2 linked regions of the Astyanax mexicanus genome follow. The protein of the gene in region 1 interacts with the protein of each later gene in a pairwise test. Links are inferred from orthologs where the notes say so. Each region holds a gene or a part of one and is shown in the gene's direction. Other genes may lie near its edges.

Evidence for each region.
Region 2: the proteins of nab2 (region 1) and nedd9 interact in binary tests that used the Homo sapiens proteins (3 or more experiments, as listed by UniProt). The two-hybrid records come from large-scale screens. The link is inferred for Astyanax mexicanus from reciprocal best matches to the Homo sapiens genes NAB2 and NEDD9.

Annotation. Positions count from the first base shown.
Region 1 is NC_064431.1:14,543,719-14,549,468, forward strand, and holds the start of nab2 (NGFI-A-binding protein 2), read left to right. Parts: upstream 1-1,868; 5' UTR 1,869-1,918; coding exon 1,919-2,836; intron 2,837-5,007; coding exon 5,008-5,141; intron 5,142-5,750. UniProt on the Homo sapiens protein: Acts as a transcriptional repressor for zinc finger transcription factors EGR1 and EGR2. Isoform 2 lacks repression ability.
Region 2 is NC_064410.1:63,490,481-63,496,230, reverse strand, and holds the start of nedd9 (enhancer of filamentation 1), read left to right. Parts: upstream 1-2,258; 5' UTR 2,259-2,492; coding exon 2,493-2,504; intron 2,505-5,750. UniProt on the Homo sapiens protein: Scaffolding protein which plays a central coordinating role for tyrosine-kinase-based signaling related to cell adhesion. As a focal adhesion protein, plays a role in embryonic fibroblast migration.

The DNA of each region.
Region 1 (5,750 bases):
AAATTAACGCAGGTAGACAGAAGGTGCTGGAATCGCCTCGAAATTCACCTTTTGAACCCTAGGGTAAGTAAAAACACGCCTGCTGTTCAGACTTAAACTTGAATCTAGTACAGGGCTGTTTCCATTGTTTCTCGTTTGAATGCTCCAGCATAGATAGGGGTGTTTAATGTAGCTATCCTTGTATGTATTGCAGTGTGCGCATGCGTAGAAGTCATATTGAGGGACGAGCATTGTCTTGTGCAATGTCAAAAAAATATTTTTAAAAACTTTTGCCTCAATGACAGGGCAATATAATTTATTTACTCCTTTATTGGGTAGACACTAGGGGTGGGCGATAAAGCCCTAAAATAATATCACAATGTTGTATGGTATTTTCGATAATGATATTCTTGACAAAATGACAAGACACTGAATTCAAACGCTTATTTCAAGAATACACTACTGCAACAAAATTAAAATTAAATTTTATTATGTTATATGATATGATATGGCACACCCCTAACTGAGATATTAAAAAATACAATAATTTTATCAGATTTGTAACAGAAATCAATAATCCAGAATGTCATGTTGCTAATAATGCACTTTATATATCTCCATATATCCAGGATTAAAGTAAAATGAAAAATACTGGACAGATATAATCTGTCTCTAGTAGATATATAATGGAAAATGAGAATAGTGTGATTTTTTTTCTTTTGCTGACAACAGCAAAACAAGTATGTGATAATTAGGGGTGGGTGATATGGCACAATATTTTTATTGTATAATATTGTTCAAGAAATTCCAAAATGTTGGCGATATTATTGCGAATGATACTATATGGCACACCCCTAGTACTCACAGTACGTTATTAGCTAATATAATGTCAAACATTTTTTTTATATTGCAGTATGTTTCATAAAACACATTTAAGTAAAGCAGTGTCAGATATTTTACAGTATTGTGCAGCCCTATCTCGGCCAGTGTAGTATATTATATACTGTTTAGCTAATTAAACTCGCTCATGTAACTTACTCCAAACCTTACATCCTCATTTTAACCAGCGGCAACTAGTGTTTGTGTATTATTTCACACATTTATGGAAACATAATAACAAGGAGAATTTAATAAATGAAGATGATAATAAAAAAAGAAGTAATCTTGGTTTATATTTTACAGTAACATGTGTGGATTTTTCCTTTACAATAAAACTAAACAACAGTGGCAATTGTCAAAAATACAGCTAGATCTCATCACCCCTCGCTAGTTGAAAGGTTAATTTGACTGCTTTAACCTTAATATAGTGGTTTATTTATTTGACTGGCATTGTTGTTAATTTTGTTTTAGATATAATCTTTATGGTTTTGTAATAATACAAATATTTGTATAGGTTTAGCAGTTTTTTTTTACCTAAAAGGGAACATGTATATTCCTCATAAATGTTTAACCCACATGCGCCCACACTGTTATTACAATACTGTCAAGGTCTCATGATTGCCAGTTCCAAGGAATTTACCTCCTGAGCCCACACACACAAACACACACACACACACACACACACACACACGTAGAGTTGTGGGCAGTTCAATATAAATGTCACCAGCTGAATCTTGGGTCATTAAGCTTCACCATCAGCAGCAAGAGTTCAAAAGAGCACAGTTGGTCATGCTTTTTCTCTCTGGTTGGGTACATCAGGTGGTGCTCTCTCACATTGCTCTCATCACTCCCATTGTGATTCTGGTCAGCACCGGTATCTGTTGGCTGGTGTATTAGAGCTTGGGATCCAGTGAGGTTTTGCTGCTATTTTACAATCAGTAACATTCCATATAAAAGTCAGAAGACACATGTAGTTTCATTGGTGGGTTTAAACAGAACATTTGTTCATTATAATGTTATTCTTATGGTCACTTCTCATCCAGCCATATAGCCACCCAGGATGTCGCTGCCGAGGACACTAGGCGAGCTGCAGCTGTACCGGGTCTTGCAGCGGGCCAACCTGCTGATGTACTATGACACCTTCATCCAGCAGGGTGGTGACGACGTGCAGCAGCTCTGTGAGGCAGGTGAAGAGGAGTTCCTGGAGATCATGGCCCTGGTAGGCATGGCCACCAAGCCCCTGCATGTTCGTCGCCTCCAAAAGGCCCTGCGTGACTGGGCGGCCAACCCTACGATCTTTAACCAGCCCTTGGCCACAAACGTCGCTGCTGGAGGAATCCCACTCTTTAAGATAGACAGCAGCAGCGCTGGAGGAACTGCTGTCGTTGGGTCAAGAAAGTTGAGCAATGGTCAACCAGGGTCGCCTTGTGATAGAGAAGATCAAGGGTCCTGCCTTACGCCATTACGAGACAATGGAAGCCCTAGAAGCCCCTGCTCTCAGGCATCACCTTTACCACCCGATCATCTATATAGGGACAAGTTGAGCCCGATGGAGCCGCACTGGCTCAGCCCAGACCCAGATGGAAGCGTGGGAGCCGATGAGGAGCAGCCCAGTCCTCCATTGCCTCTTACGGTTCACAACAGGCCCATCGGCCTCTCGACACCACCCACTTCGTCCTCATCCTCCTCCTCGTCCACTGCAGCAGCCTCCCCATGGCCTGGCGGTCAGCTGGACCCAGAGACGGCACGGGCCGTGGGTGAGAGCGTGGATCGCCTGCTCAGGACCATGCCCCAGGCTGACCCGGGTGAGGTAAAGACTTTACTGAGGCTCAACAAGAAGATGGCCAAGACAGTGGGACACATCTTCAACTTGGAGCCTCAAGACAAGAGCAAAGAGGAGGAGATCCGCAAGTACAGCCTCATCTACGGACGCTTCGACTCCAAGAGACGAGAGGGCAAGCAGCTGACTCATCACGAGGTACGTACACCTGGGGAGATTGGGGAACTGTGATTAAGTTACTGTAAGCTTCCTGGCTGCTGCGCTTTAGCTCCAACGCCAACCTGCCATATGCTCCACCAGTCTCAGAGGAGCTGTCACAGTGCTGCTGCCAGAGAGATTAGGCTGGTGATGTGGCAGCGGAAAGGTATAAAGCAGGGGTGTCAAACTCATTTTGGCCGAGGGCCACATTGGCATATTGGCTGTCCTCCGAGGGCCAGATGTAACTTATAAATATAAGAAAATGTAACCAAATGTAATATATGTAAATGAATGTAATTACTCCTTAATGTTAAATAACTCTCAATATATTATTTATTCAATCAAATATTACAGTTGCATGGAAAAAATGTTTGCTTGTTGCTCTATTAACATAAATCCTGTTATGAAATCCAAAAACTCCATCAATCAAGAACCAAACTATACAAGTGAATAGAAATGACATAAAATACAAGTTATATTAACTTTGATCAAAACGTTTGATACTGAAAAGAGGCTTAATAAATATAAAATCAAAAATTGTGAGCTGTGACAGATTTAGCATTTCCTCATCCAACCACTAGTGGGAGCTGCAGCAGCACAAGCCCACAGTCTTTACTGAGTCAGAGCTACAGCCCAGCCACGGGCTACAGGACTCAGTCTGGAGCGTTTTTAAAATTTTAAGTTCTTCTGTGTATGAAATAAAATAACCCCACTAACCGGATAATACAGCTCTCTACAGTTCATCTTTCAGCCCAAGCAGCTAACAGCAGCAGTTTAGAGCAGCCATCCCGGAGTCACTGCTCGGATTACATTATAAACAGGTCAGTTAGCGCGCTGCTAACCTCAGGATGTTTATAACTACGGAGTTTAGAACACACCACGGCTGCAAGGTTAGACTGTTGAAGGCTACTGGAGACTATTAAAGGCTATTGGAGGTTATTGAAAGGGTTATTGGGGGCAGAAATCAGTAAAGGCTGGTTAGATAAGTGATTCACCTCCTCGTCCTTTGCTGAGGTGAAACTGCGACTAGCGATGTCACAGTGAAGTTTATTAACCTCATTAAAACAGATTTTATCAGCTATTGTCTTATAAATATTTACACATAATTTATATCTCTTCTAAAAAGCGTTTATTTTGGTCAGTAACACAAAATGCATACCGGTCTTTCGCCTTGAAGCACAGCCGTCCGTCTGCATCAACTTTTCTTTTTCTGGATATTATGGGATAAACATGTCTCAATTCCACCCGCGAAGTTACACCTTCCCTCCGGCAGGGTTTCCACATCAATGACTACACTGCCGTGTAGTGGCAGTAAGCCGTAACTTTGCGGGTAATACAATCGACAAGCATTGTGGGAAATGTATTTTTTGGTCAAAGAACGCTTCTGACCTATTTATTATAGACACTAAGATTTTACAAGCTCTCGCGGGCCACATAAAAAGACGTGGCGGGCCACATTTGGCCCGCGGGCCTTGTGTTTGACACATGTGGTATAAAGGGTAGAACTTTTTTTTTGCATTTGGAACCCAGGAGAAATAGATATTAAAGTATATTTTTTGTAAATTACTAATTTTTGTTGTTTTGTTGTTGTAATTATTAAAATCAGAATATTGATTCCATAGTCTGCAAAGGCTGGTGTGTCAAAAGTGCATCATTATATCTGTAGGGGTTTTATATCTAAGTAAAAGTTTGTAGTTTATTTTGAAGACCACATGGTGATATGGTGGTCCAAGATAATATATTGAGGCCAGAAGACAGTGTTAAAGATAGTTAATTATATATTAAGGCCATATGATAATATACATAGAGGACATGACATACCGGTAATTTATTAAGACAATGAGATAAGGCCACATGATACAATATTTAGGCCATAAGATAATATGTTAAATCCAAAAAATAATACACTGATTATAATCTATGAAGACCATGAGAACATTAAGTTTCATGCGCCCACAAAATAATAATTAATGCCATGAACTTATACATTATGGCCACAACATAAAATAAAGTATTAAAAACAACCACCACATCACTGTAAGATCTTTGTAGTTTTTATATAAATTGGTTTGTATGTTGACAAATGTGGGTGTTATAAAACCCAGATGATTTAAACGTGGTAAGGATCAGTTCTGGCATCTTAATGCTTCTGCTTGTGTCTTCCTGCTTAGATGATCATCAATGAAGCAGCTGCCCAGTTCTGTATCCGGGACAATGCTCTGCTGTTAAGACGGGTGGAGCTGTTCTCGCTGGCTCGACAGGTCGCACGAGAATGTGCCTACACCTCAACGCTCAAACACACCAGGTCAGAACCCAGCACATCATCTCGCAGCAAAGGAAACAAATAAACCAGAAGAATTAGCACTACTAATCAATTCTAATAAAAACTGTCAGGACATTTAATGCCAGGTTCACACTACATGACTTTTAGAGTCATCAGATGGTTTTCATGTTTAATCTTTAAACACTACACAATGGGGAATTTTTACACTAAGATTTTACTACATGACTGATCAGCAACACGGGGTCTTTAACCAGGAGGAACCCACACTGTTAAAATGTGTGTGAGTTTTTTGAGTGTGTTTTAAATAACCTTCAAGAATTATTATTATTTTTTTTTGTTCTTTGAAACTTTCTGGAAGGTTCCTCAATTGAAGAACCGCTAAATGTATTTTGGATCTCCAAAAACACGTTTGGTCAGGAAAAAACATTCAAGAACTGGTGCTACACAATGCACAAGACATGTTTGTTTTCTTCCAGAATGGAGAGTTGGAAAGAAACAAGCGATATAAGTATAAGGAAAATAATATTTAAAAGTATATGGATAAAGACTGAGGTGTATAGCTCCTTCTTCAGCTTTCTCTTCATGTCATGCGTTCATGCATTCTCATTGGCTGTGGTAGTTGCCAGTAGG
Region 2 (5,750 bases), on another chromosome or scaffold:
CGCCATGCATCGATAATGCAGAGAAAACATCTGAAGAGATTGTAGCTGAAATACTAAAATAGATCAGGTTTCATTATTAAACATCCAATTTCAGAATGGAAAAAAAAAAATCCTGAATGATTGAGATCGGGGATCACTTAAATGTTTGGTGAAATTGTACAACAGCACCAGAACTTACAGATACGTTGTTTAATAGTGAAAGTAAGAGCTTTACCACTCACACACAATGTAGTGAAGAGAACTGAAGGAATTAAAGTGACAAAACAGCTGCGTTGCCTTAAGAGAACCACTTTTCTGTGCTGTTCACCATTGTCAATAGATGATAATTTTAGGTTGAATGTTGGATGTCAGATGGCAAAAAATTTATGTCAGGATAACGTCTAATACTGTTACATTCCTACAGGGTTATCAGTGAGGCTAATGATCTCCTTCAATTGCTCCAGAGTCCAATCTTAACTTTCTCTATCAAACTAAAGCTGTTTTAGCATCTTTAAAAATGTGTCTTATTCATCCAGTTAGCTAGTTTTTATAGAACAGAAGAAACTGTTGCTCGTCCTTTCCAGGAGCGGTCCTGATGAGAGCCAGTTTCATCATTCCATTGTTTTTGATGGCCTTATCATATTTATAGGATTTCTGACTACACAGAAATCATATAACCTGCCCGGCCAAAAAAAAGGTCACCACCTGGATTTAACTAAGCGACATAAATCAATAAATCAGAGAAAACATCTAAAGAGATTGTAGCTGAAACTACTAAAATCAATCGATCAGGTTAAGAAATGTCCAACACACTATTACTAAACAGTGGAAGAACATCATCTTTCAGAATGGGAAAACAATTTCGAACATTTGGGAAAATCATGCAAATGGCAGAGAAACAGCACTACAACTCAGGATTGTTTAATAGTGAAAGTAAGAGCTTTGCCACTCACACAATGCAGTGAAGGGAACTCACTTAAGAAAAGCACTTATATCTGTTATTTATCCACTTAATTTCTCATACAACAGAAGAAACTCTTGCTCTTTCTTTCAAGGGGTTGGTCCTGATGAGTGCCAGTTTCATCATTATAATGTTTTTGATGCTCTTTGCGGTGACTGCACTTGAGGATACTTTCAAAGTTCTTGAAAATCTTCTTTCTAGATTGACTGACCTTCATTTTTTCTCAAAGTATTTTTTCTTTACTTAGTTGAGTAGTTGTTGCTTCTCATAATCTGGATTATTATAGAACATTACTCAAATATTCACTATTCACTGTATACCTGTAACTCTACCTCTTCACTACTTTACTTTAACTGATGCTCTCAAACACTTTATTAAGAGGCAAGAAATTCAAGTAATTAACTCTCGATGTGTAAAACTGATAATCTAAACAAGAGGAGCTACTTTTTTCATAGTTTGGATGAGTTTAGTATTAATCTAGAATGCAGAACATTTTAAAATAATGAAACAAAAAACAGTGAATTGAAGGTGTGCTCAAACTTTTGACTTCTACTGTATATAACGCTAGAAAAGAGCACTTAAACATGAGGAGTTTCTTTGATTTTACCAAATTAAAAACCTCTGAAATATAATCAAGAGGAAGATGGAAGGTCACAAACCATTTGTGAATTTTTGCACCAGGAGTAAAGCAGCATAAAGTTATCCAAAAGCAGTGTGTAAGACTGGTGGAGGAGAACATGATGCCAAGATGCATGAAAAAAAACTGTAATTAAAACCAGGATTATTCCACCAAATATTGATTATTTCTGAACTCTTAAAACTTTATGAATATGAACTTGTTTTCTTTGCATTATTTGAGGTCTGAAAGCTCTGCATCTTTTTTGTTATTTCAGTCATTTCTCATTTTCTGTAAATAAATGCTCTAAATGAGAATATGTTTATTTGGAATTTGGGAGAAATGTTGTCTGTAGTTTATAGAATAAAACAACAATGTTCATTTTACTCAAACATAAACCTATAAATAGCAAAATCAGAGAAACTGATTCAGAAACTGAAGTGTTATATTGTGATAAATAGATAGATTATAGATTACAGAGTTTACTGTAAATGAGTAAAAGGCAGTGGGGTAAATTTAGCTCGTGACTCAAAACCCCTTATGTCATAATTTCCCCAGTTGGTTATTCAAATCTGAGCTTTCTCATTGGCTGAGTGATGTCACGCCGGGGACTGGGCTTTTCCCTGTCTCGACCAATAGGCGCTGAGATATGCAAATGAGGCTAGCAGTTCGTGGCGTAGCGTGCGCGTGCTGCTCAGAAGGCAGTGAGGCGGGCGCGCGCGAGGCCGAGTTGGAAACATTGTATCGTGTCGGTGCGTTACGGCGCGTTCTGAGCGTACTGACGGCGTTACGCTCGCGATGGCCGTTTAAAAAGACGTCGTTTAAACGTCGTGGATTTCGGGTCCGAGCTTTTTGCGTTGTTTTATTTATTTAAACGTTTCTGAGGGATATTTTCACCCGTCTCGCGCCAGGAGGACAGACGGTGACGTAGCCAGGATGAAGTACAAAGTAAGTGACTTTTCTACGGAGAGATACCTGGTGAACCACCTGTACTACTGGCCAGGTAGAGGGGGTACATGTGGTGTTATTGGACTTGGCTATGGTGTTTAGAGCTAAAAATCAAAATACAGTGTTTTTTTGGTGATTTTACTAATGTTGGACAACATGTCCTGCTGAAATATACAAGATTAAGCCCAGTTTTTGTTGTTTGTTTGTCGGTTGTTTGTGCTTTTACATGGTCTAAGTGTTTTTTCAACAGAGATATTGTGGTTTAATTAGTCAATTTATTGGTTTTTCAAGATAAAATCTATAATACATTGATTTTATTGCTGGTTGTACTAATTTTATTGTCACTACACACATGGTTTCCACTGTTTGTGTGGTTTATATACCAACTGTCTTTGTATAAAGAGCTAAAACATATATTTTTGGTGAATTGTACCAATGTTGGAAAACATGTCCTGGTAAAATTTTCTAGTTTAAGACCAGTTTTTGGTGTTTTTTGCTGGTTGTTTGTAGCTTCAGATGGTCTAAGCTGGTGTTTGTTGATCAATGTGTTTTTTTCATCAGATATTATATGATTCAATTAGGTTATGCATTGGTATTTAGAGCTAAAAAACAAAAATACATTGATTTTATGGTTTTATACCAACAGTCTTTGTGGAAAAAGCTTAAACTTGGTGGTTTTATTAGGTTATTCATTGGTATTTATAGGCTAAAACTTAATACAATGATTTTTGTTGGATTGTACTAATAGTATTGGCTGTACAAACCAATTTAAAGCAGTAAGTTATACATGACATATGTGTATTTTTATGCAGTGTAATGATAGTTTATATGGTTTCCTTATCAGCTGTTTTTGTGTACAGAGCTAAAACTTGCAAATATATATATTTTTGGTGAATTCTACTAATTGTTGGTTGTGCTGGTTGTTTGTGCTTTTAGATGCTCTAAGTGTTTTTTTAACAGAAGAAAATATGGTTTAATTAGGGTATTCATTGGTATTTAGAGCTAACCTGAAAATACATTGATTAAATGGTGGTTGTACAAATATTTTGTCTGGAAACATGATATTCAATGTTTGTAGGGTTTTTATACCAACAGTTTTTGTGTAAAGAGCTTAAACCTGCTAATACATTGGTTTTTGGTGGTTTAATTAGGTTGTTCGTTGATAATTAGAGCTAAAACCTATACTATATTGTTTTTTTTTTTTTTTGGGTTGTACTAATAGTATTGGCTATTGAAACCAGTTTGAAGCAGAATAAGTAAATAATGTGTTTTGTGCTGTGTAGTGATGGTTCATATGCTATACACATGGACTGTCTTTGTGAAAAGAGCTAAAACTTGAAAATACATAGATTTTTGTGAATTGTACCAATGCCCTGCTAATATTTTCAAGTTTAAGACCATTTTTTGTCGGTTGTTGCTGGTTTTTGATAGCTGGTAAACCAGCTTTTGAGCTGTATAGTATATGTTACAATTAATTCTGCTCATGTTGGGGAACCAACTTGGGTCAAGGTTGGTAACAGACCAATAGACCAGCTAAACCCTCAAACTAATACACTAAAATAATATCATATACTGACCAAAAGGTCAACTGGTCAACCATCTCAATCTGGCCTTGTTGGTTTTTGAACAGAGATAATAAGGTTTAATGTTGCTGTTCTTTGGTATTTAGAGCTAAAACCTATAATACATTGATTGATTGGTGAGTTGTATTGATATTATTGTCTGTGGAAACCAATTAGCAGCTTTAGAAGTGAATACTGGGTGTTTTTATGTGGTTTAATGATACGTTATACTGTGTATATATATATATATATCAATTATACTCTATAAAGAGAAATCTTGCAAATACATTGTTTATTGTTGGGTTGTACTGATATTTTGGGCTGTGAAAACAAATTTGAAGCTGTATAAGTGAAATATTTGCATTTTTATTTAGTGTATTGGTAGTTTATGTGATTTACCTAAATCACTTTTTTTTGCTTGCAAAGAGCTAAAACCTATAATACATTGATTTTATGATGAGTTGTACTAATATTATTGTCTTATATTTAGCTTTATAAGTGAGTACTTGGTATGTTTGTGGTTTAATGAAATTGTATATGGTTTATATACCTGCGTTTTTCTTCTAAAGAGCTAAAACCTATAATACACTGATTGTATGGTGAGTTGTACTGATGTTATTGGCTGTGGAAACCAGTTTCCTGATATAAAAGTGAAATGTTTGTATTTTTAAGTGGTGAAATTATGCATTACATGTTTTTATACCAGCTGACTTTGTGTAAAGATCTAAAATGTTGAGTTGCATCATTTAAGTGACATTTAATTATTTATATGAGATTTAAGTGCTAAAATATGAAAATACACAGACTTTATTGGTGGGTTGGACTAATTATTGGCTGTGGAAATTGTTTAAGTGATATTGGGGTATTTTTATGCGATTAAAGAGCTAAAATGTGAAAATACAGATTGTTTTGGTGAGTTGCTCTAATTATGGAAACCAATTTACAGATTTAATGATAGTTTATATGGGGAGTATACCCGTTGTATAGAGATAAAGGCTGAAAATGCATTGGTTTTTAGCTGGGTTGCACTAATATTCCACTATTGTTTATTATTGGTAATAATAGGTGGAAATATAGATTTATTTGTAGGTGAAAGTTGTTTTAGGTGTTTTGTAGTGAGGTAAAGTGATTCATTTGTATTTATATGGAGTTTATGTGGTTTATATTCCTGCTTTCTTTCTTGTAAGTAGTTTTTCCTGGGAAATGCTGCTGTTTGAATGGGTTGGCAGGGCTTAATGGCATCATTTGCACTTTCACTGGTGAAGAATGGCTCCTTAAAACCTCTTTTATTACAACACTAATGTCATTAGAGCTGTAAATACTACTGTATAACTACCCCCCCCCCCCCACAGCAGTGATTTACCCCGAGTAATCAGAAGCCTGGGAGTGGACAGTGAACACTATTGTTGAGAAGCAGGTAGTAAATAATGTGATTTACACTTTACCCACTATCGTATTACTCAGAGCCACTCTAGAAAACACAGCACACCATTCATTTACTGCCCTCCACACACAGATCACTTCTACACCAGCAGCTCACCATTACCTGCCTGTTTATTCAGCGTGTTAGCTGTGAATAAATGCGCGTTATAATAGTGAAAACCACAGTAAAACACTTAATCGTTCAAATTCAACAAATGAACTCGGTACACTGTTTAATATTTGCTGTAATTTAACTGTTCTG